4 linked regions of the Lepisosteus oculatus genome follow. The protein of the gene in region 3 purifies or fractionates together with the protein of the main gene of each other region. This does not show direct contact. Links are inferred from orthologs where the notes say so. Each region holds a gene or a part of one and is shown on either strand. Other genes may lie near its edges.

Region 1 (6,881 bases), on a different chromosome or scaffold from region 3:
AAATCCAATAATGACAAATTAAAAATCAATCAGCATCTGCTTAGCAAAAAGAAAGGCGATTTTCTATTTAGTCCCCAGATGAAGGGGGACATGCTGGTGATGAGTGTCTCTGCCATAGCCTACAAAGACAGATGCAGGCAGCATGTGTTACTGAATGACCTACAACAACATAAATAGACACCTTAAAAAAAGAATGCTTCGCCAATTCTTTAAAACACAAGCGATTCTGGTAAATACGCGTGTTTCCCTACATAGAGGGAACACTGTGGTGTCTGTAAAATCATTTTTATTAACATTAATAATTGTGTCAATTTATAGACATAGACTCATATCCGACCATATCTCAAATGTTCTATAACTCAGTCACAAAAACAAAGAAAGCACATCTAACCACAATGACTACTCACTAATCTACAGAGAGATAAGTTTCACTTTGTTAAATCTGTACTTTTAATTGTTTTCATGTTCCTTTTTTACACAGTTTATAGTTAAAATACAACTTTTTCAAAACAATGTGAAGAAAACTTAATAGTAGTTAATTGCACTTATATGGCACTTCTCATTCCAATATTCCGAGATTGCAACATATTGCAATACTCCGAGATTCCATAAGATATGAAAGCACTTTACACATATACAAAAAGAGGGGACCCACTTCATCTATTACTGAAGTGCAGCACCCAGCAGCCATTATGTGCCAGCAGGTAGAGAAGTGACCATTTGCTTCACCAATTCAATTAAAGGGGAACTTAATTAGAGAGGCCAGGTCATTAAAGCCCAGCGTAGAATTTAGCCTGGATACCCTGGTTAACACCTTTACTCTTTCAAAAAGCCCCATGGTATCTTTAATTACCAAACAGCCAGCATTCCAGTTTAACATCTCATTTAAAGGACAGCACCTCTTACACTACAGTGTTTCCTATCACCACCATAATGGGGCTCTGTGTAGCTTTTGACATCTCAGGAGATGAGGCCGAGATGCACAAGTATTACTTGATAATTGTGAAGCTGATGCCCTGGCTTCCATCAAGAAATGGCTGGATGAGATCCTTGGATCAATAAACTACTAACTACCAAATGGGCTTCAAGGGCCAAATTGTTCCTCTCATTTTCTATGCATAATGACTTTCACCACAAAAAGCTTCTAAAACTACTTCCCAAAAGCAAACAGCACCGTCATATAAAATTTTATCCAAGGAAAAAAAAGCATGCTAATGTAATTCCTGGCGACAGATTGTTAAGAGCACTTTTATCCACCTATTTTATTTTTTCTGGATTATGTAATGTAAGCAAAAAGAACAGTACAGATGCAAAAAAATCAAATAAGCAATTCTGGTAAAATGTTTAAGGTATGAACTACTTTTATAGCTGCTTCATTTAGAGGAAGTGAAGAGGGAATTGTTTATTTTCGTCAGTGATTCCATCTCAATGTCAGATCTTGTTTGCTTTCTTGTTCCTAAAAAAAACTATAACACTGTGCCGCAGGGGTGAGATCACTTTAAATCAGTTCCCTTTCAAAAGTCTATACACACACATATATAAAGTCGAAGACAGCAGTATTGCAGTATCGTATATTAGATGCTGGTGCATCAAAGGGAACGGGATTAGGTAGCCATCCTTGTAGGCTTGCAGCCAAATCAATTCACGAGTACAGCGCTTAAAAATCAATCTACGATAGTTTCGGCTTTTGTAACAAATGACAGAGCAAAAATCCAGCGCGGAATTAACCTTTAAATCTGTAAACATCAAACCCACTGTCCAGTAGCTCTGTTAGACTACAAAGCTTAAAGAAAAGATGTCTGTTTCTTTCCTTATTAATACTTATTTCTGTGCTGTATATACATCCTATTTAATATGCCAGGGTTAACCCAGGACAAAATTGGATTACGCATTTTGTTTTCCACTGCCGAAGTTCCTTGGGTATTTGATTCACAAGATTCATATTAAAAAATAAAATTGGCACTTTTAAAAATAGTTTTTTTTTATTTCTACTGCATTTGAATCAATGTATATTGTAATGATACAATATAATGTGTTGTGTATTTTATTACCCGCTCTGCATAAGGGCGTCTGCTAAACAAAAACAATATTGGGTCTATAGGAAACAATACAACGAAACTTTTCAAACGTGCTAACACTAGCAACACTACACAGGGCAACTCAGTAGTAGCAAAAAACTGACAGAAAGCATGAATTAAATTAAGAGGATGGTAATGTTTTAATTGGCTATGTTACTGTTTTTATCTAAATACTATTGTTTTTTTCTCGGTACATACAGTATAGTAAACTGAAAACGATCACGCAGAAACGTAGTAATCTATACTGGAGCTTTTGAGCTTTTCAATGGACGAAAGCAAATAACAGTGTATTAATAATTAAACGATCTAAACTCTTGGTGTATACCTTTTTCCGACATTACATTGAGAAATGATTTAAAAGCTTCGGGAAAATCTAAACAGACTATTTTCTAGTAAGGCCCAGAGCAGGATACAGTGTTGCAACTAGGCGCGCCTCTGACAATTCCCAATCCCTAATTTATTTACAAAGAAAGAGACAGCACTGCTTTGCATGCACCCATAACCATGTAAATCCAACCACAGAACCTGTTATCTCTGACAAGAATTCGATATAACTGAGACTTGCATTGGAACTATTGAGGAACAGCTCATCAGATACCACACAATTGTCAGGCCTCTGCGAGGATATTGGGAAAACTCGGGATTCGACACAGCTAAAATATATAGGCTCCATAATCACTATTCTTCCCCCAAACTTGTGCAATCGGATACTGCTGTGGATTAAATGGAAGTTTCGCTCTTACTTACCCACGCCGTATTTTTCCTTTTTCGTAGGAACCCAGCGAGACATTTTCTCAAACTACAGAAACTTTTTTAGTTGTTAGAACAACTTTCTTGTTTAAGTTTCTCAGATGATGATTTTTACCCCTTGCCTTTTACTATTTGTGCCGAAAGCCACACCGAGCCGCCATTTTCCACCAGTAGCAGGGAGAGCAGCAGTAGGCAGGATGAGAAAATAAGTTTTTGTCATGTGGTGAAAGCGTCACTATAAAAACTTTCGCATGTCAAAATCCACTCTTTTAAAATAAGCGCCATTAAAACTAATGAATTACGCGTTATTTTTACTTTCTTTATGGTGTTCAATTTGTGTTTGTGATTACATTATTGTTGTTATCTTACAATATAAAATTGACTGCTGTGATTGATAAATTACATTGGTTAGCTATAACAGAATGAAAGCATCAGGATAACGTTTTATCATGATATCGTTATGAGGGATAACAATAACTTAAGTAAAAAATATGAACTTCAAACACCTATATTTTTTTTCCAAACAACTAGTCATAAACACAGGAAACTGAATCATACTGAAACAATTATGTAAACCATCAGTATTACATGTACCTATCTGGAATTTAAGTGTAGATTTACATGCATTCACACAGAAACCCTAAACAGGCGATAAAGATAGATATATTGCTAGAATCAAGTTTTGGTTCATGTTTTTTTTTTATCCCACTCGACAACCTATATTTTCTGGGTTAGAGATATGAGAATATCAAATGATTTCAGAATAAAACCAATAAAGGGATCTTTTCCCTTCAATATATTTTGAATTGCAAAATCTTTCCTCTGTTACATTGGATTACAATGTATATCATTAACGTTTTTAAAACGACTAAGATTTCTGCCTGAAAAGTCGCCAGGCACTGTAGTATTAGTGTGTTTTTGGGAATACCAAAATATTTTTTCTATTTTACTTGGAATATAAGCTAGATGAGACACTAAATAACATCAAATACTTATTTATAACACAGCTATTAGCTCAGTAACTTTAAAATTATTGATGATCGCCATAAGAAAGCCAACCGAATTATTGTGTACTTTTTAAATGTATTTAAAGCTGCAGTTCACAAATAGGTCAGTTGTTGCAGTGAAATAGACTTTACTGTACTTTGATTTAATGAGCAATTAATAAATACCATATTAATTAGAGGTTTGTAGCAGCTCTAATATTTATATATATTTATATGAAAAATATTGAAATCTGTGTTCTGACTGCACCTGCATGTTATTTACAGTAGGTCGTTTTTTAATCACTCAAGACAGCCACTGAGGTTGTGTGTTTACTGTAGGTGATGGTAGTAATAATGATGTGATGTTTTCAATTGAATATATTACTTTACCTAAAGATTGTTTTTCTGCAAAGATATAACTCAGGCACATGAAGAGAAACAGTACTGTACCTGTTTTGCTCCCATATGTCTATCTTAATAGCACAAGAACATTCCACTGCAAGTTTGCCAGGTTCTGTACTGTTAAGATACTCATAGAGAAGCTCCATGTCCCACTGTCCTCACACAGGTTCCCAGGATGTGCCACAAAGGTGCAAAGAAAACTGTTACTTGGTGGACACATTGAGTCATTTCTCATTCTAATGTTAAGACACTTTTTCTGCAGGCACCTCATGAATTTTAACCAGTGCTTCCCAACCCCGATCACGGGGAATTCACAGATTAAGCAATCTTTCCTTAACTTTCTGACCCTTATTTCTGGCTTTAATACAGTATGTGATCAGTTTGCAGCCAACAAACACCTGGGAAGAACACAGTATCTGACACTCCCACAATGAGCTACTGTATTTTCTCTTCCAAATTGATTAGAATTTAGGAAATACTCTTGATTGAGGGCAAATTATATAGGGTTGATATAAATTACAAATCACATGCAATCTTTTAAGACACGAAAGTGCATTTTAAAATATGTCTCAAAAGGAAGACCGAAATAAATTAATTTGTAAATAACATGCAGGTAATAAAGAACGTGGCTAGAGCAAAAAACAGAAGACAGCAGTTCTCCCCAAATCGGGGTTGGTTTAGAATTAAGGACTATCTACAAGAAAGCATAGAGTTTTGTAACTTTGTTGATGTAGATCATTATATGCCATTCACAAAATTAACTTAAGATCAAGGGTTAAACTTCTTGATATACAGTATTCAGTGAGATTTTCTTATTATTAATGCAATCCCATTCTAAATGTATTGAGTTATCTATGCAGAAAATCTGACTTAATTCAACTGCCAGTGTAATATCACTCTCCTCATGTTTTATTCTTCAGCTGGAATATCAAAATTATTTTACTGATGTTTCCTATTCAGTTGTCTTCTGGTTTCCTTAGATTCAACTATTTCGATGTTTAATATAATTACTTTAAAGAGAAAAACAATTCAGTATCTAACATTAAATCGTAGAATGCAGAGTTTGTGCTGCTTAACTTTCGGTAAAGATTAATATGCATGCATATACTGTATAATTCCCTAAATGCCTTCAGAGCTCTTTTACTTAGCAATTAATAATTATTAAACCATTAAGTATCAAATTAAGAAAAACACCAAGGGGAAAGAAGTGGGGCTAAGCAATGATACAGAATGTGTTACTTGTCTTTTATTCAGCTAGATACCAGGATTTTGCTATGACATGTATCTAAAGATTTAATTTATTTTCAGTAGACCATTTCTTAAGTCTGTAAATCTTCAAGGCATTATTAAAGCGAACTTTTGACGGCTGTATTCAGATGTGATATTAAAAGCATGCACTATTGCATTTTTGCTGTGTATGGCAATTTTTTAAATTTTTATTTATGTTATGTCTGTACATTTGATAACCTCCTTCTATTTCCAACACCCCAGATGAGTTGTATAAGGGCATGCAAACACATTTTTGCCAATTCATTTGCCTTTATGCCTTACGAGATGTACTCTTCAAAATCTCCACTGTGTCTGTTTAAGCTTTTGCCCAGTGGTACATTCAAGCACATTCAGAGAACCAAGTGACGTCTCTAGGAAACCGGGTATTAGGGTACAATAAGTTACAATCCTATGGGACGTCATTAAATCAATAGTATAGCTGGTAATCATAAAAAATAGTGTAATTTTGTATCAAACAATCTACCAATATAAGATGTACTTGGAATTCTCCAGTTTCCCTGATTTTTTAAAGAAACAAACTCATAGCTCAAATCAAGCCTCATTAAATGGGGACGTAGAGAGTTCTCGTTAAACTAGCAAAAGGTAGATTTCACTTTTAAGAGCGCAATAAGACTTGTTATTATTGTAGACCATCACTTATAATCTTTAGAACTGTTGTTTCCATTTAGTCATTTCTGAATAATGAAAACGACGGAGCAACATGTTCAAATTTAAAGTTCATAAGGATGACCAGCAGAGGGCATTGCAAGTCTTTTTTCTTTTTACAAAGAACATTTCGACGCATCTTGACAGGACAGGACAATTCATTTGCGGCACCTGTGAATTATGTAATGGGCACTGATCATTCCTAGGCTCAGACACCGACTGCTGCAGTATCTCTTACTTACGTTACTTACGTTATTATGTTTTGTATCCTAAGTGAAGCCTGCATTGGAGTTTTTCACACTCAAATTTTGTTGTTGTTGTAGGATGACATGAAATTGCAGTGACTTAAATTCAGATTTTTCAAAACAGGCTGTTGTCCACTAATAAAAATGTTCACATTAAAAGCAAGAAGTACTTCAAACAGCTAGAAATTCACATATTTTAATGTTGTGTATTATTTTTGTGAATAAGGGAGATGGGAGGGCTTATTGTTTCTGTTTTGAGTAATTTTAATGTATCAGTCCAAGTGAGAAACAGCTTCTGTTGAGGAGCCATGAGGTTTATTTACCAAGCTATCCAGCCACCTTGTCGAGGCTTCTTTCAAGAAACAGCTGGATGAGATACAATAATTAAGTACTACCAACCAAACAAGCAATATGGATGCCCTCCTTTCGTTTGTACCCTTTTTACAATCTTCTTTTGTAAAAACATTTCACAATGAAAAACTATA
Region 2 (7,000 bases), on a different chromosome or scaffold from region 3:
ACTGCTTTACACTCAAACTCACAGATCGTAATGAGGGTTGATTCTCAACCGCAAGAAATTAACACTGTTTTAATGCCTTAAATCGATACCACAGCTGGTACACGTAAGATTAGGCTAATTATAGTTATTGTAGGCAAGATAAGCATATACTGTAATCTCTTATAAAAAGTGGAAGCTAAATTGTACTATTATTACTACAAGGCTGATTGCTGTAGTCCATAACAAGCAATGGATTACAGCCTCACAGGCTGAAGAGGACAGGGTGATAAGTGGAGGGGATAGTGTGTTTGAGGAATTAACCCTTTCACCTCTCGTACTAATTAAAAGCAAAGCAGAAGGAAGCAGGCAAGGACACAGTGGTGTGGGTGATGCAGCGCCTTGGTTCGGGGATTGATCCGCAACTGCAGCGCCCTCAGATTCTCCAGGAGCCTCAGCCACCACACACTTTCCAACAAGACATGCTGACCAGGTTAGTTGGAGACTGTTGTCCCCCTGTGCGTGTGCACTCTAGGGAGGTCTGGCGTCCATTCTGGTAACCTGCGCTCCTGAGAGAGGCTCCAGGGCTGCCATGACCCTGTCCAGAGGCGAGTGGCTTTCTTATACTGGAGGCACGGATCGCGCAGGGCAAGCAGGACATCAACACTACCTTGCTCAAAGTCAGGATCTGTATCTGGGATACTCCATCTTCCAGAAGTCTAGAGGCCTGGCTATTTAACTGTCTGGAATGCCAGGCCCTTGATCGCAGGCCAGTTCATCTCAGTCCTTCCCCGCAGCAGCAGGGGGTGAGGCAGAGAGCAAGAGATCTAAACTGTCATCTGGGAGGGTCCTGCGATCGGCGCAACCTTTCGAAAGCGTACACGTGCCACAAGGAATCCAGGAGGAGCACAGACTATGCTGCGCCGCCTGGGGAAGAAGTGCTGCGCTGGAGTTTGTGGGGGGAAACGGGGCTGTCAGGCCCAGACAGAGGTGGAGAGGTGCTGGGAAGAAGTGACTCATTATGAAGTGATTCATAATTCCAACTTCTGGCACTGTAACACCTGCACTGCAACAGGTGAGCTCCTGTTCTCCTCATTGTGCGCTGAGGCAAAAATGTCCATGCAGTAGCTGACTGGATGGGTTACTACTACTATACTAAACGTACTGTACCACCACACTTCATTCAGGGAGACTCTTAACCGGTCTGCTGCAAACGTTGAATGTTGTCTTAATATAGCACAGGCCTCTTAGCAACCACAGTAATCAGCCAACAGCCAGGCACTCTCTCCACGGCAGACAAAGCTAGCCCATGATGTGAAACTGTCCTTCATCGGGTCAGGCAAAACAAACCGAGGAATTCAGCCGACCCCTATACATTTGTAAATCCTTAAACCTGACTTCATTTAATCCAGACATACATCTGGTTCATTGTTTTGTCAGATCCTCACAAATCCTGCTTTTAAATCTTCCTTTTTGCGAACTATTAAGGAATCCCACACGGTAAATCTGCTTTGCGTTAATCATTACTGTACGCTGCATCCTGGGCTATTTTCCTTGAATAAGCAACTTTACTGTACTGGTACAGAGGATCATATGATTCAGTTTAAACAGCTACAATTTACCGCTGGAATCGCAACAAAGAAGCTTCGTTTCTGTTTTGTAGATGGCTCAGAAGAGTTGGCACCAATATATTCGAGCTACATCTTGATATTTTCACAGTTAACACGCTTTGGGGTGAGGGAATACTGTATGTCATTCGGCTTTGTTTTGATGCGAGATACAAAAAAAACAGAGTAAGCTAAGCGTTTTTTTGTTCACAAACTCCACTCATCCAGCACAAAAAGTGCGAGCAAGGGCACTACAAGTATTAATGACAGTATCTGGAAAGGAAATACCTCAGAGGGATATGGCAGTGTTGTCAGAAAAAGCAAAAACTGTGGCGAAGATGGCCGGAGGAGAGTAGCCTTCAGCAGCTCCCGGGTTACCGTCACGGTTCATCTCCGGGCCCCGAGACTGAGAGGCTACCCGCACAGGGAGCACCGTGACAGCGGGGACATGGACCGTGGCGACTCCATTGAAGCACCTGCTCTGCTATCCTTGATTTCTCATCCTTTTCACACCACGGACCGTTTGCCCCCCTTTGTTGACAACATTACAACGACAATAACCGTGAACAACCAACATAAACGTGTGCAACAAATGAACCGTGCTGGACTCAGAAAACAGCGGGTGTGAGGCGTGGAGACGCCGGGGCGAGGCGCAGCTCCTTCACAACGGCAGCTCGCCTACGGCAGGTAGGCGACAAGGAACAGCGCCTTTCTTGCAGAACCATGACGACATCACCGGGGTTTTTTATGCACAGGTTTGCATAGGGACCTAAACAGTGCCGCACACACACACTTTATAATTGGCAGCGAAAGCGGCTCTTTTTATTTATATGATCGATCCTACTCCATTTTTCGACTGCAGGTGCTCGGTCTGTGCCCCTATATCTCTTTAAATTAAACTCGGGTTTCGGAGCCGGCTCAGCGGGGAAAGAGTATATTTTTAATTGACTGCCATGTCTCCCTCTCTTAACTCTTTCGTGCGGAAATTCACTTGTGCCGTCGCAGTACATTTCATTACGGCTTTCAGGCATCTTCTAGACTCCAACATCAAAATAAAGAAGGTTTTCTCTTACCTGGCGTTTGATTCCCCAAAGACAATATCCGTTTCTTTCTCTCCAACACTTCTCTCCCCTCTCTCTCTCGAGTCCGGAGCGTTTTTTAATCCTGAAGTGTAACTAAATCAACCCCAAAACAGGACCTGGGTGCTTGCAGCTCTATCGATGCTGTGTTTCGTGCACGACGCGAACTCGTATCTTGGTTTAAAGGCAGCACTGCGGGCGAAACAGTATTTCCTTTCTCTCTCCTTTGTAACCCGGTTATTTTGTTGACGATCTGGGAGGGTTTGAGCGGTGCAGCTCAGTGCACACATCGCTTTTTCCAATAAGAGTGTGCGTGAGAGAGAGAGTGACAATAGATAGCTGAGCCAGAGCGACCTCTGCTGGTCAAGAGTGACATCTCGCATTCGGTGGGTGTGCGCGGTGCTACTGCTCTCATCTCTGCACGGATTTACACCTGAGAGATGCCAAGTTCCCGAAACGGGATCTTGATCTGAGAGCTCTTGTCTGAAGCAGTGAGCTAAATTTGCTGCAGTAGCAGACATGACGTAAAAGACTTGAGGGCGGGGATTTTTAAAGTATCCAAAGGTCCCAGTTGTCTAATCAGGAGGACATACTGTACGGCTGAAACGCAAGTCTTATCTAAAAGTAGTGCGTGAAGGGAAAACATGATACACAAAATGAATGTGATTGAAAATGTATATTAAAAACTAGAGCAGTCACTTTCATACGGAAGCGCATTGCTGCCATCAAGGAAAAAATGTCACCTGCTATCTCGTAATTAGGAGTAAATTTTCTGTTATTACGATATACTATAGTATCGCGTATTTTATGTGATAATCACGCGATAACACATATAGTACTGTAACGCTTACGGCCGACAGGCACTGTGTAAGAGCCGGCATACCAAAGCAGGTGATGTCACCGCCCTTCACTGTGATAGCAGGACTACAGCTACTGGGCTGTAGAGAGATCTCTCTTTAGCTCACGGGGCTACGTCGCAGAGAGACGCGGAAGTCCCGGGTTCGAGCCTCCAGTCGGGATGGGGCCGACCAGATGCGGCAAGGGTGCCCGCCTGAGCCCCCGTTGCGTTACAGTACCAATAATTGTCATAATGCCAACATGATCATTTGACTGAGTTTACTTTCAGTTTTCAGCAGTGAAGTCGATTTCCCGGTACCTTCTTTCTGGTATGTAGGATAAGTGTGAGTGTCCTCAGGGTTCTTATGATTGTGTTCACATTGTGAATTATCCGCCCCCCCTCGAAAGTCAGTCCGTGTCACTAAACCCAAATTTCCATCTTAGCTCTCAGTAGCTTCTAGGTGTTGTAATTGCACAATGTAATAGATTGTTCATACAGCTCTAATGATCATTTGTATTTTCTCGTAATTACGAGATATCACATGAGATATTTTCTTCTTAATAGCAGCACTGCGCTTCCGTAGAGGCCAGCTATGAAGCGGGCTGTTTCTCTTTTGTGTTTGAAGCGGCTGGGTGCGGCGTGGTCACCTGGTCACCTGTCAGCTCTCCGGAACTGACTGTGTAAAATGCCCGGCTAGTTCCGGACTTCTTTCACTACAGAATACTACCACGTTTCACGCATTTATCTATTTAAAGCTCTTCGTTTTTTACTCTTAGTGGCCTGTCAGACAGCTCATTACAATGTACATGTTTTTGTAAGGCCTTTAAATGATCACTCTTGATGTTGAGGATGTGATACACGAGAGGTGAAACATTAAAACGATTTTTTTTTACGTTTTAAATGAATCCATAGCTATGGCAATAAAAATATAAGATAATGTAGCTAAATCTTTCAAACATATATATTGTGGTTATTTCTAGAAACAATTGCTAATTACTAAATACATTTCTCATTTCTGTTTACATACGTAATAAGGCAACGTGTGAGTAATTTTCCAAATCCTCTTGTGTGTTTTTACTGTCTGAGTTTCTCAGACCTGCTATTTAACCTTAAGCATGGAAATACAGCCCTTCCATCAATTTTTTAACCGCCCTGATGTGTGGTGAGCGTACTGGTGCTCTTTGGCTGCCGTTGCATCATCCAGGTGGGGGCTATACATAGAGGTGATGGAGGGTAGTCCCTATTACCTGTGAAGAGCTTTAAGTGGAGTGTCCAGAAAAGTGCAGTATAAGTGTAAGGAGTTATTATTTATTATTTATTCTTCTAATTCAGGGTAGCAAGGTATCCAGAGCCTATCCTAGCAAGCAACAGACACAAGTCAGTACTACAGGAAAACATAGTACAGTACTGTACTGTGCTTATCCCACTATATGGGGCCCCCTGCTGAAACATATTGTGCAAATTTATTTGGTAGGCAGTGACTTAGTGCAGGTTTGTTGAAGCTGACATGATGCCAGTGTTCCACATCTTGGTCCAGTTGCAGTCCAGATCCATTCCTGTCCGACTCTTCTAGAGATTACAGGATTACAGGTGGCTGGGTGTCAGAGCTAGGGTTCTGGTTATGACAGGACTGGGTAATCCCAGTGGGTTTTTATTCCAACTCAGCCTTTAAGGGCCTTAATCGGCTCTTAACTAGACTAATTTCACGGCTTCTCCCAGCTGTTAGGTCCTCCGGGACCAGGACTGCCAGATTCTGGAGGCACTAGGGTGATGGGTGGGTTAAAAGTAGGGCAGGGCTCGTGCTTGAGCCAGGGACAGAAGTGACGTCACCCCCTCTGACGTCTAGCCAGTGTAAGGCTCCAGCAGTGGAGTTAGCTGCGGCCCAGGGAGGGGAGCTGTGCTCACTAGGAGCACTGGATTGACAGCGGGAGCAGGGAGAGGAGCAGTCATCACATTAGCCTTGGGGTAAGCCTGGTGTTAAAGGCAGGTAGAGGGTTAGGAGGATTAGAATTAAGGGTAACTAACTGGGTTAAAGTGAGGATTAGGAGGATTAAAATTAAGGGTGAGTAGCTGGTTTAGGGTGAGGGTGAGGAGGATAGAATTAAGGTGAGTAGCTGGTTTAAGGTGAGGGTGAGGAGGATAGAATTAAGGTGAGTAGCTGGTTTAAGGTGAGGGTGAGGAGGATAGAATTAAGGGTGAGTAGCTGGGTTAAGGTTAGGGTGAGGAGGATTACATTTAAGGGTGAGTATCTTGAGGTAGGGTTAAGGTTGTTAAAAGCAGGGAAGGGGTTAGGAGGATTAGAATTAAGGTGAGCAGGTGGGTTCATGTTCTTCCTCTTCTTGCATACAGTACGTTGACCAGGAGACGACAGAGCATGTGGGATGGCCAGCAAAGGGGGGAACAGATTCAAACCCTGGGGGGGAGTGTAGAGTAGCTGATCAATCCCTTCCAGGGAACACAGATACAGGGAAGACACAGGGAATCAGGAGCCAGGTTTAGCCTTGGGATGAGGAATAGTGTTTAGATTAAAGTTGGCATGATTCGGGCTAGAGCTTGCATTAGAGAGGTTAGGGTGGGGTTAGAGTAAGGGTCAGTGGAGAGGACAGATGAGGTCATGGCTGGACCAGAGTTGCTGCTTGGGAATGACTGTGCCCTGACAGTTTCTGATGGCCGAATTAAAGGACTAAGGGACACCCTGGAGGACCAGAAGGAAGCGTGGACAAGTGGTGTAGTAATGCACATTGACAGCGTGTCAGCAGGGAGCTAGTGAGGAAGAAGAATCCATGGTACACTCAGCTGCTCCAGTGAGTGTGTGTGTGAGTGTGTGAGTGAGTGTGAGTGAGTGAGAGAGAGAGCCAGGACTGGGCAGCATCTGGAAATTTTGAGAAATTCCAAAATCACAGCCCCGCTAGCCCTCTTCCAAGATCTTAACAAAAAACATGTTCATCCACAATCAGAGAGAAAATGCAGAAAATAGGAGAAAGAAGAAAAAATCTAACAAAACACTGAATATTTTTCAATGGCCAAACAAATTTGAACCTCTCAGAGACCACTGGCTTGCTTTATACAGTATCCCTGAAAACACAGTCTACCTCAAAGGGACATTCTTGGGTGCTTGTGCTCATTTCAGCGCTGAAAGAAAGCAGGCTTGGCAAACACACTCGGGAAATCGTTACTGCCTTTCTTGCAGCAGAAAGATGATGTGACAGATCTCAGATCGATGTCCTTGAGGGGCTAGGTTAAGCAAAATGACACAAAGTTGAAAAGTCGGCACCACTGCATATTGAAATCCTGCAGCTCTGATAAATTATTTGCCCATACCAGGGAATGTGATGTTCAGTAGCTACAGGAGGGGATAAATCAAAACTAATTTCGTCTTTCTCATCTCAGGCTTTTTTCCTTAGGGATGCATGCTATTAATAGCAGCTCTCAGGGCTATAATTTATAAATACAGTGATGTGCATTGGTCAGGCTTCTGTTATGCATTCCAAAATACAATT
Region 3 (6,949 bases):
TAATGGTCAATTTAACAGGAGAAAAGCCGAAGAGATGGTCTAAAGAACAGTGAATTAGCATAACCCAAATCTGCCCTTACTTGCTGCAGAGTACTGTACTTTACTATGCTTTGCGCAGCACGTTAACGCAAATGAAACAGCAAACGCTATGTGAGGTGATGGACTTTCAAACACAAAAATCTGATTAGCGCTCCTTCCGGTATGAATAAAATCGACGATTACCTTCAGGACATCTCCACGTTTAAAACTTAATTCGTCGTCGGCAGTGGCTTTAAAATCGTATTTGGCAACGGCCTCCATTCTCCGGGGTTCTGCTGGGACACCTGTGAGCTTTTATAGTTTCGTACAGGTACAGTCTGTCGATGCAGCAGGGTGGAGATTTTACTCCCTTATTCTGCTGGCAAGTGAGATAAAAAAAAGCAAGAAAAATAACAGAATCCGTGGACCACTCGCTTCGAGTCTCTCTCCTCCCGGCTACGACCCGTTTCTCCGGGGTTAGCTCCTCACATAAAGGTCGCTGTCACGTATCTGCAAAGGCAAAGATACATCAGTGAGCCTCCCCAGGCTACGTAATTTAAATAGTATCAGTAAAGCACAAAAATATAATAATAAGGGACTAATTTAAAAGTGTTTGATCGAGCCGCGCCCTGGAGATCCGACTTGCAATGAAAGGCAAACGCTCAGCAAAAGAGGAAGGAAACCATCTGGCTGACATGCGAGTTAGCCAACCGCAACCCCACTGCGTCCCGACAGCCAATCAGGATGGGGCAAGCTTATAACGTCCAATTAGAGCCGACGTAATCGCTCTCCACCAATGGGACGCCCCAGTCCTCCGGCTCGTCCAATCAGCCGCCAGGAATGTTGACAGCGCCAATCACACATCAGCCCAGCTTCCGCGGAGTGACCAATCCGGCCTCCGCATAGGCCACAGGCCGCTTCCATATTTATCAATCATGCACTGCATTGATCTCTCCGTCTGCTACATGGCACAAAGTAACACTTTAAAGCTACAAGCGCCACACATGGGATCAGTCGCGTTTTGCCGTTAACGTCAATGCTCCCCGTTATGACTTAAAAACACACACCGAGAAACAGGGAAAAAAAACAGTCGTTAAAATGTAGGATGGAAACATAATTCGTCAGCTCTTACAAGAATGCAAGAAAAAGTAACCCTTTGTGTACAGGAACTGTGCGTTTGCTTCCGAATTATAATAATAATAATAATAATAATAATAATTGCTTACACTTATATAGCGCTTTTCTGGACACTCCACTCAAAGCGCTTTACAGGTAATGGAGATTCCCTCCACCACCACCGATAATAAATTCTTAAAATGTCAGAAACCCTGAACCGCAGACGTCTCGCAGAATACGGAAAGCATCATCTTAAGAAAACTTTCGTGGAAGTCTCGATCCACCTTCCTTCGCGACGTCAGTATTTTGATCATGTGCGCAATTTAATTCTCGTATAGCATTTTACTTTTTTTATTGCTGATCGATCTAGACAATAAAGCTTAATTTTTTTCTTCGTAGAATTAGAAAACCTAGCCAATGTCGCAGACAAGGTATTAATATTTCCACAACTCAATATCCAACCCCACCATCGCCAGTTTTCTTAAAACTTCACGCTCGAGACCTGACCCGATCTTATTTACAACCGTTTACAACTTCCAAAGAATATTATTTAACACGACTACCGTTTTATCGCGAACAACAAACTTCGTAATCCCTTTCGTAACTTCGTCAACCGAGTTACACCCATAAACGTTTGTTGCCTACCCCACTCATGACATTTATCAATTGAAATTCGAAATCAAAGTGTCGATTAACTTGGACAAAACTATCGATAACGCCAGGAAAGATCGATCCAGCGATACCCCCGAAACATCCCGACTAGACATAAATAAGAAATCTGCCTACATTCACATTTTTGAAAACAACAGCAACGATAAATAAATGTTGGTTGAAAGAAAAACCAATGAAGGCATCCGTTCTGAACCACTGCGCTACCGAATAGCATCGCTCGTCCAGAATAAATACTCGTGAGTTTAAGTTTAAAAGGGTCTTACGCGCTGAATGACCCGAGCACAGCCCCCTCCGTCCCGACAGGGAAGTCTCCCAGCCGGATTTGTTCTAGATGGTTCCTCGATGGGAGTTAATAAACAGCTGTGCCCTGCGCCGTAGCTCGCAGACTCGACAGCCAACACCAACCACTCAAGTCAAAGATCACTTCTAGCTAATGGCCCTCAAAACCCCAACAACAACAACTACTACTACTACTACTACAACCGGAGCCCTGGCGTTAGATGGCACCGGCCTGATTTGGGATTTCGTGATTAAGAGGGGTGGAAAACAAACAAACACCAACTTCGCCGTGCACTGGCACCGTGAGGGGACATCTGGGCGCCTGTGCACCGGGGCGACCGCGCTGACATCGGGGCGAAGTGTCGCACTCGCTGGGCGAAACGCTCGGGTTTTTTTAAAAAAAAATATATATATAACCTCTCCGTCGGTACGACGAAGGGAAGCGCTGACGAGCCGAGAGCTGCTCCGCACGCCGTCTGTCAGGAGCGTCTCTCCCCCCACCCCGACTTATCTATTTATTTTCTTTAAAAAAAAAACTTCCACTTTCTAGGGGGCTCCTTGTTTTCGGTTTCCTCCCTCGGACGCTGACTGTGTCCCAGGCCCCAGGAGCGGAAAAAAAAAAACTGAAGACAACACTTCGCGTCTTTCCTGTTTCAAAAAACACCAGGCCAAAATAACAGGAGACGAGAGAGAGAAAAAAAAAACAGTAACTCACCCCCACTTCAACTTTAACCGGGTGAATCCAGCTCAAACACACAGCTTGACCGTTCTCGGGGTTGGGAAATACACACTTTGTTACACAGGAATAGTAACTTGTAACCCTTTCTCTGAATCCCCCCCCCCTTTCTTCTTCTTTTTTTTGTACCCGTTAAAAAAAAAAATCCCGATATTTATTTCCGTTTCCTTCCAGATGCGGTCCTGCTCGCTGCCTGCCTCACGGCTCGAGCCGGATCTCGCGATACCTGCCCGCGGCGTGCGGGACTGGGGCGGGGCTTGGCGGGGGGTGAGGGGGAGGAGCCTCGGACCCCTTGCTGGGGGCTCTGCGGGGTGGGCGTCAGATTAGCATAGCCGCCAGGCCGGTGGGCATGCTCGCTTCCGAAGCTGCCTTGGTCACTATGATCAAAACCCTCTTCTTCAGAAAAGCCTTTACTGAACTGGTTCCATTCCTCACCCCTCTGCTCTTCTTAGCGCCACCTTCCACCGTCTCCTTCCACTATTGTTCGATAGATAGATAATACTTTATTAATCCCGTAGGGAAATGGATGTGTGACAGCAGTCCAGCCCAAGACAAGCAAAACAGACATCAGAATAGTTATAAAACAAAATAAATAAATACATAGGTGTGTGCAAAACGTGCCGATCATAGTCGCTGTAAAAACAATAAAATATGTGTATACACACTGATTGCCAAAAAAGTACAATGGAGTAAACATGCTGTCCATAGAGGAGCAAATGCATATTACGATATTACAATAATACAATCTCGCCTGTCTTTTCATCTTCGTATCCCTATTAAAGGTGTTCCCCTCATTGTCGTGACTCATTGCGGAAGTGCGAATTCCAGCTCTCCCGCGCTCCTTGTCATTGCTGTCAGAGCAATACTTCAGCCGAGTAGACTTTTATAGATACTCGGGTGGAAATGCTAACTTGTTTCCACCCCGAGTCCTTATTTGCTATCCGTATTGATTTAACTGGGCAATTTGACGCCTTTCCTTCTTCATGAGATGGAGGGTTAAAGAGACCTATCAGACCCGGAGCTCGGTCTTAATTGCTGGTTTCAATTGTTTACTCACCTGCACAGCCGTAGCGTTTTTAACCCATTTCCGAGGTGTTTATAGATGAGTTTATTTTTAATGAAGTGAATGCGTGTGGGCAGTCGGCTGTACAAGGCATTAAGAAAAAAAACTAGGTATGTGTAAGAAAAATAGGTAATAATAATTCCTTACACTTATAGAGTGCTTTTCTGGACTCTCCGCTCAAAGCGCTTTACAGGTAATGCGTGGAGTGATGGAGCCAGTTCATAGATGGGGATTATTAGGAGATCATGATCACTCCTGTCAAGAAGCGCTCGGTTTTCCATTTCATACAAACGACGGCGCCTTTTTTTTACAAGTTGTTACAAGTTGCAAGGTCACTATACTGGGGCATTAGCCCCACACAGAGCGCAGGGTGAGCGCCCCCTATTGGCCCCACTAACACCCCTTCCAGCAGCACCCTTCGTTTTTCCCAGGAGGTCTCCCATCCAGGTACTGACCCGGCACCTGTTGAGCTTCAGGCGGCTGCCAGTTGCGAGTTGACAGTGTGGCAGTGTGACACGGCTGCTGGCCGAGTAGACAACAGCGGGGTCAACTCATTGACTGCTCGAGTTGGGGGAGAAAGCATAACACACCATGGCTAACCTGGAATCCAGCTTGTGACCTCTGATCTAGGATGGCTCAGATCCCTTAGCTACTGTCACGCACAGCACACAGATGTGCCGAGTGGTCTCCCCTCGTTCTCATGATATGTGCTTGCGGTGGGGCTGCCCTTGCCCAGATCTCTTCCTAAAATCCTATACTCTTAAATAAGTCATGATTTCCCTTTAATTACCATGCACTATGATTAATTTATAGGCTACAGTGAGCCTGTCTTGTACAAATTCTGAATACGCTCCCCGCCTGCGATTATACAACAACTTCTTTCGCGAACGGAGAAACAGCCGGTGAGCGCCAAGCCTGTGAAGAAACTGGGATTTTATTCCCTGACCTCTGGCGCCACCTTGTGGGCAAGGACACACAGGACAGGACTCGCTGCTTCCAGGTGGTGCTGGAAAAACTCGCCGCCGGTCCTGCTGATGCGGCGACCGCATTTAGTGCTGAGAATCTGACACCTTCGGATAAGCAGAAAGCAGGAGTTTGAAAATTTCTAGAACGTGTTTGATTCTGATCATAAATAGTTAGACTGAGGAACGTGAACAGTCTGGCACCAATTAGTTGCTATCACTTCAGATTAGGGCTTGGAAATTCTATGAACACATTTTATATCTTAAAAGTAGATTTAACAGGGTTGCTATTAACCTTAACGGAATGTTTAAGTACATAATAAACCATCTTTATATTTAAATGTTTATCAATGTAATTTTGACGGTTCATTTACTGTTTTTTTTTTCTATATCTAAAGCATTATTTGCAACCTTAAGCTTTACATTTCTTGTTCAAGTGCCTCGCTATATTCAAGATAAGACTTCATTAATCATAATTACGGGAAAGTGAGGCGTTACAGCAGCCCAGCCCAAGAAAAGCAAGACAGACATCAGAGCAGACTAGAATTGAGACACAGCCGTGGCATTCTTGGACGTGAACTGGGGTGTCACAGGGAGAGAGGCGCTAGACGGAGTCGGGACGTGAAGAGAGCGGTCACGTTCGCTACACGTCAGAGGCTGACGAGTTTGAAATACCTGACGAACAGAAGCAAAACATCGGTAGTTCGGAGCATCTCAGTGCGGATTGAGATCTGCGTGCGCACAACAGATCGAACAGTAGGTGAGGAGGCTTAAAGAGCAGAAATATTCATCTTTCTTTCCTACTGACGTGAAATTAATACGAGCGATAGGAGCGATTCTAGCAAATCATATGTAAGAGCATCTAATTGAAAATAAGCAATTGGCACGAAGGGTTAAAATATTGACACTGACTCAATTTTATAGCTCTTCTAAGTCTTTCAATACAGTAAAAAATCAGCTGAATTTTCACACTTTTATATGATTTTCCATCAAAGTATCTTCGCATTTTGAAGTAGCTGATTTTTATTTGACAACATTGGTTTGACGCGTTGTTATTGTGTCTAGATCACAGTTCTGAGACTGATGGGTTTTGAAAGAAACACACCTTTCGTTCTTGAAAACATGACCTACGTAAACTCATCACTCGTCTCCAAAAATTATTCTTCCAGTAACCAGACAGGTAAGAGCGCTCCAATTTACTTGGAACAAAGTATTATTTCATTTCTTCTAACTACTGACAAGGTCTCCACCGAGAGAAGGTCGTTTATATAAGCAGTGTTTAACGTATTGGTGAGCAGACGAATGAACTGGCTTAATTCGACAAGCAATTTTGGCGATGTGGTGAAATATTTTAGCAAAGCGTGAAAGAGGAAAAAAGACGAATTTGTCCTGTTACAGTAATGTGGTTTCACGATTTACAAAGTTATTAGAATCCAGTTCTACGAAACGAATGCGTTTCGTACACTTTGAAATCGCAGGAACGTGTGAAGAAGCTGCATTTAGCAAATCTCCCCGAGCCGATTCCCTTGTGAATTGAGCACCGGGAGTCCTGAACTGCATCGATGTCTCTGACTCGACCTAGCAACCCGGGAGACACGGGGGCTCTTTCACTGAACGACCGCCTTTTGTCTTTACAACTGGTTTTATCTACCCGGTTTTGTATGGGTGGACTGGTCCTTCTAGAATCAGCCCGGTGTTTACATTTTTAATGCCGCAGGTGGTGTATCTCGTGACTTGTTTTGTTGATGTCCTAAAGAATGCAGTCTGAAAAAAACAACAACACCTAAAGTGGGAATCTGAACGGCCGAGCCACAAAATGCAACGATTTGAGCGATGTGGAAAATGTTACAGTTCTGCAAGTGTTCTGTAACTCCAAGGTCCTGCCGTGAAGTGCTTAGCGCGTCGTTAACCCCCGTTATTCCCTGTCTCCCTCCCAGCTGCGGAAAGGGGCCATGCGCCCTATACCGATGTGATCATGCCCAGCATTTTCGGGGTCATCTGTTTCTCGGGGATCATCGGGAACTGCATCGTGATCTACACCATCGTGAAGAAGACCAAGTTCCGAGCCAAGCAAACGGTGCCAGACATCTTCATCTTCAACCT
Region 4 (7,126 bases), on a different chromosome or scaffold from region 3:
TACGTTACTTTGCTCTCCTCCCCACTGAGAGCTGGTGTGTGGGGAGCGTTCTGTCGCACTATGGCTGCCGTCGCATCATCCAGGTGGGGCTGCGCACTGCTTGGGGGTGGAGGGGATCCCCACTACCTGTAAAGCGCTTTGAGTGGAGTGTCCAGAAAGGCACTACATAAGTGTAAGGACTTTACTTATTTTGTTTATGTCACTTAGTTCTTGTGCATGTGTATTGTGTTAAATCACAAATAATCAAACTGATGTCAACAACAAGTAATCAATTTAGAAAATCTGCTAATTTAAATAAAACAGACACTTTTATATTCCTGACACCACACTGGCACCACACACGGAGCAGAACTCTGTAGTTTCCAAAAGCACGCATGGCTCTATATTTAACCCAGCTACAAAGCTAGAAATATCGTTGTCAGACAGACGCCAGTAAAAAATATAGAACAACAGAAAACATACTCTGCAATAAGACCTTCTTAAGCTTTTTTAAGTGCCAGATAAAAGCATTTATTCTACAAGAGGTAATGTATATAATTATTGTTTACATGCGTCTGCTAACTCGTGGAAGTACAGCCCCATGTCCAGTAGGGGGCAGCAGCCCAGCATGTGGGAGGAAACCCATGCGAACATTGGTCGAACATGCAAACTCCACACAGACTGCCACCCGCCATTCAATCCGTTTCTATTGAAATGAAACGATTTGATTTCTCTGCTGAGTAACAATATAACACTTGTCACACGATCGGAGCTCTAATCAGACTCGCAAAGCGGACAAATAAACTTCTGCATGCAAACATTTCAACATCTCACTCGGGTATAGCTTTAATCGAGCTGTTTATTTTCCTTTTGTAATATAATTTACACAGTATTCAGTAAAAGTTCAACTCACCAAATATGTAGAACAGCATGTGAGAGAGAGTCCTTATTATCCCCAACGGGCAACGTGTTGTGATACAGCAAATAAGGGAGATAATAAAAGATATAGTGCTAAATTTTGCTTTGGTTTCATGGCTAAAGGAGACCAAGGGCATTATGGAGAGTGTGTCTCGCCCGCTTCACTGTGAATTTACACTACTACCATTGGGGAGATACAGTACCTCTGTGTCCCCAACTCTAAAAGTCACAGATTTAGGAAATCTTTCATCCCCTCTGCAATATCTGTCCCAAACAATGTAAATGAACTCCTTGGGCACTACTGTCCTGTCTTCTCTGATTACATTTTGCACACACCTATGTATTTATTTTTATTTATTTTGTTTGTCTTTTGTTTTATAACTATTCTGATGTCTGTTTTGCTTGTCTTGGGCTGGACTGCTGTAACACATCAATTTCCCTACGGGATTAATAAAGTATTATCTATCTATCTAATCTTTGTCTTCCTTGTTATATTATTGTACTGGACCATGACGTAAAACAAACTTCCCCCAGACGATAATAACCCTTGAAATGTGAAACAGCAAAGGTGAGATCTTTCAGTACCATAAAAGAGATTTGGGTCTTTGTTTTCCGATTTACATTTTTCTGCGAAAAATCCCCTTACATCTTGAGCGTAATTTAATGTATTAGAGATAAACAGCAACGTTTCATAATCTGAAGCAATGCTGATAAACCAATAACAACTCTTTTAATAATTTGCATTATTTAAAAGTAATCTGTAACCTTTTCTTGCGATTTACCAAAGAAGAAGCTATTCTCTGTGTCTCTGGTAGCTCGGCACCATGCTGATTAATACCTTTTCAAACTCTCAAAGAAGGGACTTTGACGTATACACAGTCCGGCTGAAGAAAGACTACATTTCCCATACTCCCAATCGAAACCTTGATACAAACTGACACCCCATTGAACCGTTCAAAACCTCCTGTCCAATCCTTTTCCGTTTTACTACACGGCCGCTCAAAAAGTCATCAGCGACACACACGGGGAAGTTGCAAAGCTTCTCTGGGGGCACCCCAGCGGCTGTTTTGCAAATACACCTTGTCATGTAAAAAATGGGGACGAATTTGTTATGCGTGTCTAAGGCGACTTGCCGTATTTCAAGCAATGGGCAAGTTTAAAAAGTTCAGGTCACGTTGTTGTGTGTATACTGTATGTCTCTAACGCAATAAGAGTAGGCTACGTGCACTCAACGCAGACTGAACAGGTAAGAAGAGAGCACATCAGAACTACTGATATGCTTGCTATTGACATACGATACACTGGAACTGAAAGCTACAGAGCTCAAAATAAAGACAGAAAGGTACAGCAGCGACACCCATTCGGTTTTATTTCAGGAACGGCTGCACCACAGAGATAAATGAATGATGTGCCTTTACCATTTCAGCTCCCTCTCCTCCGGACAGCGCTGCTGGGTCACTCGACACCGACGGCTATCCTATACGCGAGCACGCTGACGTATGCTTGAGGGCAGAGCATGCGCACTTTGGCGAACGAAGCGCTGGCTTCTGCACACTTGGGGGCACACGGCGTCAGTTAATGATTCACTTGGGTAGCCTTGTAATGTCAACGGAAAGGGGAATGGATTATTAGCTTAGCGCTGGTTAAATCTTTACAATAAACTGTACTCGTCGAGTTACATATTAACTAGGTTTGTGAGCCGTTAGTATAACGGTGAAGTGGAGCCCTGCAGAGCTGGTGAGAAAGAGATAGAAAGGGAGAAAATGGCTGGTTGCCCCTCAAGCGCACCTGGTTTGTGGTTCTGCGTGGTTCCGGGGTCGTGTAACAGCCACGGGGGGAGGTATCGCGAGTGGAGAGAGCACTAGCGAACTAACTGAACTCTCTCCCCTAGTGTCGGCAGGGATGTTTGTAGAAGTGTAGTAACGATGATGTCGGGGCGATTCGTGTGTGAACACGCAGTCTGCCAGGACCTCTTAATGCTAACCAAATGGCACGGTCAAAAAAAACTACAATACCCATGAGCCCTCAGCAAAAGCCCAGCGTGCCTAAAAGACTGATGGGAGTTGTAGTTTGGCTTTTCTGCCGTACAGCACTACACCGCACCTTCCGCAAATCCATGGTCGTCATAGCCACTGGAATGCATGGAACCGAGGGTAACCATGGCTACCAGAATACTACAAGCTCGAAGGCACAGAACATGTTCTGTCAAGTGCAGAATAGTAACTTTTTATTCTAAACATTTTGAAGCGGATATCCACAGGAGCACACATTGGTTTTTATTGCACCGCCTACAAAACTCGATACGCTATTCGCTCTGGAGTTTCAGAACAAAATGTGATTCTTGCAGTAGTGACAGGTCTCAGTGGTTCATTTATCTGAGGGAGCGCGACAGCAGGAGGGGGTTTGCAGAGTCAGGAGGACGCGCTGGTTCGGAGGCCGGACCATCAGTAAGAAAACAAAGTTATATCGAGGGAACGACTTAAAATTCGCGCCCACGAAATACCTACATCGTGCCCCCGTTTTCTTTAATTCGTGCGCACGAAATAACGTTTCCTAACCCCCTCGCAAGCACTGACGTGGCACTAGCAGTGAAAGAGAGGTGCAGTCCCGATAGTTGAAGAGTACAGTAGCTACAGTGCCCTAATAACTCATCCCCAAACCAAAATAAAACTTAATCAGTTCATCTCTATCCATTATCCTTATCTACAGCAGTGTCAGATATGCTTTATTGTACCGATATAAAAACATGTTAACTAGCGTTTGAAAGCGTTGTCGTCAGGAGAAGGGGACAATGCGGGCGTTTTAAACTTTCTATGTGCGTGCGAAAACGGAAGAAAGAGAAAACGTTATTTCGTGCGCACGAATCGTAAATCGTTCCCTCGATATAACTCCCCATCACACACACACCGATGGCCCCTCCCGGGCTCCGTACGCTTGTACAAAAGGCAAAAGTACAAAAAAAAGCTCAGCTGCTGAGCACGAAGCGAACACCAAAGCACATTTAGATTAAAAAAAAATCAATTTCAATAGCCAAATCCACATAACGTCCAAGGTCAGAATTCCCCATCTCTACGGGTTGTTGTTTTTTTTTTTTGCTTTCTTAATTGCAGCCGAGTTGAACTGAATGTTTTGGAGCTACGTGATCCTTGGATCACCTTGCCGTCCTCCTCTGTAGCTGCTTGCGTCCTGCGTGAAGTGCGAAGCGAGCGGATCGGCCCGTGAAGCGCAGTTACGACTTGTTCACACCGCCGTCACGCAAGCCAAAACTGCCCTGTGGGTTCTTCGGGCTCTCCGTGGACTGATGGCGAGGCGCTCGGCTCCGGAAGAGCAGCACGGGTGTTTTTTTTTTGCTCGGAGCCGCCAAGCGTCTTAAGCGGAGAGGAGGGGACTCTCGGCTTCGCAGATCCAGGACAGGGTCCGGCCGCACTCTTCGTCATTCCAGTTCCTCACGGCTCCCGCGGCTCGGGAGGCGATCACGGCGCAGTTCTCTCTGCCCCGGTGATTGTCCGGCTGCCTCGGCATCCAGTACCTGTCAAGTTCCAGTTCACGTTTAGTTCTCATTCCGGCCTTTTTGTTTGTTCTTGGCAGGAGAGAGCAGTGAAGCGCGATGCTGCTGTTCCAGGACTGAGCTGGAACTGAACAGTTTCTCATTGAAACATCAAAAATACGAAAAGGGAGACAACATAGTCAAACCGATACAGAAATAGACGCCCTTCACAGCCAGGGGAATTCTCAGTGACAAAAGCTGAAAATAAAGCTTTTAACATGTTTCCATTGCACGTCTTATCTTTTGATTCTTTAAATATAAAAGCAATTCGACCTTAAAAGCACGAATGGACAGGAGCGGTATCGGACCATTTACTTCTGTGGATTTCGCCAAAATAATGACCAGATTAATAGGAAAAACACACCCTTTCGCCGAATCAGGTCTAACAAAATATAAAATAACAGCAGAATCTCTCCATTTAACGTCTCTCCGCGGCCATCGCGTGTGTTTCTTCCCGGTTCTGCCCAGACAGTCAGGGGCCGGTGGCGTTTCCGCCGAACTCACCCTCCGGTTTCTCTGGCCCCGTTCACCCACAGCCAGGTGCCCTCGGAGGCGGCATCGCTCAGTCCGATCCAGTAACTGCCTCCCTTGCTCTGTCTCGATATAAAGAGCTGAGCGGGAGACACAGAGTTACTCATCCGTGATGCTGGTTATTAACGTGATAGCAAAGGGAGCGCTACTAGAAACCCCCCACCCAAATACAATCGATGTGCTATGGTCAAGTCTGGTGGGGAGACGTAGGTTAGTTCCCTTTGTTTGTGAACTTGCCAACATCCACATCACCCTGGCAGCCCCTCTGGAGCTCAGCAGGTGGGAGCCTGGTCAGTACCTGGATGGGAGACTCCTGGGAGAGCTGAGGCTGCTGCTGGAAGAGGTGTTAGTGGGACCAGTAGGGGGCGCTCTCACCCTGCAGTCCATGTGGGTCCTACTCTCCTAGCTGAGGGAAAGGCAGCCTAGCTACTAGGATGAGGCTGATCCCTCCCGCCCTGTTACTAGTGCAAGGAATGAGCTGAGGAGCTGCCACAAGGGTGTGAGAGAGATAAGTGAAGGGAGGTCCCAGGGAGAGAGGGAGATGGCTGGGAGGAAATAAGCAAGATCAGGCCCTAGCTTTCTTCCCAAACATCTCTTGTCAACACGCTATGGTTCCCCAATTGCGTTCGCCCCCCTTCCCCTTCATAGTCACTTACCTGCTCCAGTCTGCTGTCTATGACCACCAGGTCAGCCCCCTGGCTCCTGCAGTCAGCCTGACTGTCCCTCCAGCTCAGCCTGCCAGTCGAGAAGTGGTAACACTTGGACTGGAAAAACTCCCAGTCCTGAGGACACAGTTTGCAGAGCCTCTCTGTACAGGGAGAACGCAGAGAGTGACAGCAGATTCCTCTCAGTCCAGTTCCCTGACCAACACAGTGTACTTCAATCCCATGTCTCTTGAGTGTATGGGGACATCCCAGCCCTCCGTTTGTCCCAGTGGTTAGACAAACGTGTCTAAATGCCCTGCCAGGACTTTGAATCTCCTTCAGATCACTTTTCTAAGCTCCTGTATCCATTTCATGGTCACATGGCAGCCAGAGCCTATCCCGGCAGGGAACGTGCACAAGGCAGGATACACTGTGGGAGGGACGCCAGTGTATTGCAGGGCACACACAGACTCACACCAGGGATGCTCTTCCAGCAGCTCATTAACTTACCAGTACGTCTCTGGAGCACCCACGCAAGGCAGCAATGCCTACCACTGGGCCAACACGCTGTCCTGACTTTATAACCTTTCTGACAAAATGAATTCAATGGGTGCTTAATTGCTTTAGCGACCCAGGTGCTGGAGATCAATGCGATGCTAAATGGATTTTGCAGCGGGATGGAACAAAAGAGTTATTCTGCCCCTCGCAGGGGCTGACCCGTCACAGGACTGAACAACCAACCCCCCCTTCATTACACTGGAAATGCTTTCAGTAAGATACAGTAGGTAACTTCGTGAGCACGAATGAGCTGTGCTATCAGGCATGCTCAGCTACTGGGGAGAGCAGACTGTGCAGAACAAAGCAGAGATGATTCGTTTTGTGTGTCAGAATAAAAAAGTCCCCATCATGCCTGTTTTCCAGTAACATTGCATGTGAAAGTGCTTACTGATATCTGTGTTCAGGGACAGGAGTCTCTCGTTTTCTCTCTTTAACTCCTCTTTTTCTTCCACTAACTTCTCATGGGCAGCAGCCAGAGCAGAATAGTTTGCACTGAGCTCATCCAGCTCGTTCCTTCTTGGTAGAGAGCTCTGTGATTGGTTGACGTGAAGGAATCCGTTACCTGGTGGGGAATAGACATTCGGTCTTTACCATATGGAAGCACGCAGGCACTGGTATCGGGCCGGCAGGAAGCTGCTGACAAAGGAACTCAGGCAGCGACACAAGTTCTCAGCCAGCAGCTGGATCACTCTGTGACTCAGCGCTGGCAGCCCCACTGGAGCTCAGCAGTGTGAGCCTGGTCAGTACCTGGATGGGAGACTCCTGGGAAAGCTGAGGCTGCTGCTGGAAGAGGTGTTAGTGGGGCCAGTAGGGGGCGCTCACCCTGCAATCTGTGCGGGTCCTGATGCCCCAGCATAGGGACGGGGACACTATACTGTAAAAAAATGGTGCTGTCCATCAGATGAGACATTAATCTGAGGTCCTGACTCTCTGTGGTCATTAAAAATCC

Evidence for each region.
Region 1: the proteins of grb2a (region 3) and dock1 purify together in Homo sapiens (affinity purification with mass spectrometry; 5 studies listed by BioGRID and IntAct, counting the BioPlex papers as one, with this or other methods). This does not show direct contact. The link is inferred for Lepisosteus oculatus from reciprocal best matches to the Homo sapiens genes GRB2 and DOCK1.
Region 2: the proteins of grb2a (region 3) and pik3c2b purify together in Homo sapiens (affinity purification with mass spectrometry; 5 studies listed by BioGRID and IntAct, counting the BioPlex papers as one, with this or other methods). This does not show direct contact. The link is inferred for Lepisosteus oculatus from reciprocal best matches to the Homo sapiens genes GRB2 and PIK3C2B.
Region 4: the proteins of grb2a (region 3) and ptpn6 purify together in Homo sapiens (affinity purification with western blotting; 4 studies listed by BioGRID and IntAct, with this or other methods). This does not show direct contact. The link is inferred for Lepisosteus oculatus from reciprocal best matches to the Homo sapiens genes GRB2 and PTPN6.

What each region holds. Positions count from the first base shown.
Region 1 is NC_090699.1:26,645,401-26,652,281, forward strand, and holds the start of dock1 (dedicator of cytokinesis protein 1), read right to left. Parts: upstream 3,010-6,881; 5' UTR 2,869-3,009; coding exon 2,826-2,868; intron 1-2,825. UniProt on the Homo sapiens protein: Involved in cytoskeletal rearrangements required for phagocytosis of apoptotic cells and cell motility. Along with DOCK1, mediates CRK/CRKL regulation of epithelial and endothelial cell spreading and migration on type IV collagen.
Region 2 is NC_090700.1:38,878,632-38,885,631, forward strand, and holds the start of pik3c2b (phosphatidylinositol 4-phosphate 3-kinase C2 domain-containing subunit beta), read right to left. Parts: upstream 3,011-7,000; 5' UTR 2,657-3,010; intron 2,271-2,656; exon of another isoform or gene 1,489-2,270; intron 1-1,488. UniProt on the Homo sapiens protein: Phosphorylates PtdIns and PtdIns4P with a preference for PtdIns. Does not phosphorylate PtdIns(4,5)P2. May be involved in EGF and PDGF signaling cascades.
Region 3 is NC_090704.1:44,337,945-44,344,893, reverse strand, and holds the start of grb2a (growth factor receptor-bound protein 2a), read right to left. Parts: upstream 3,024-6,949; 5' UTR 2,801-3,023; intron 2,564-2,800; exon of another isoform or gene 2,503-2,563; intron 701-2,502; exon of another isoform or gene 529-700; 5' UTR 301-528; coding exon 223-300; intron 1-222. Other genes in the region: mchr1a (melanin-concentrating hormone receptor 1), read left to right, coding at 5,930-6,026, 6,784-6,949. UniProt on the Homo sapiens protein: Non-enzymatic adapter protein that plays a pivotal role in precisely regulated signaling cascades from cell surface receptors to cellular responses, including signaling transduction and gene expression.
Region 4 is NC_090718.1:2,758,173-2,765,298, reverse strand, and holds the start of ptpn6 (tyrosine-protein phosphatase non-receptor type 6), read right to left. Parts: upstream 3,022-7,126; 5' UTR 2,316-3,021; intron 1-2,315. Other genes in the region: CD209 antigen-like protein C, read right to left, coding at 4,267-4,426, 4,949-5,055, 5,632-5,783, 6,566-6,739. UniProt on the Homo sapiens protein: Tyrosine phosphatase enzyme that plays important roles in controlling immune signaling pathways and fundamental physiological processes such as hematopoiesis.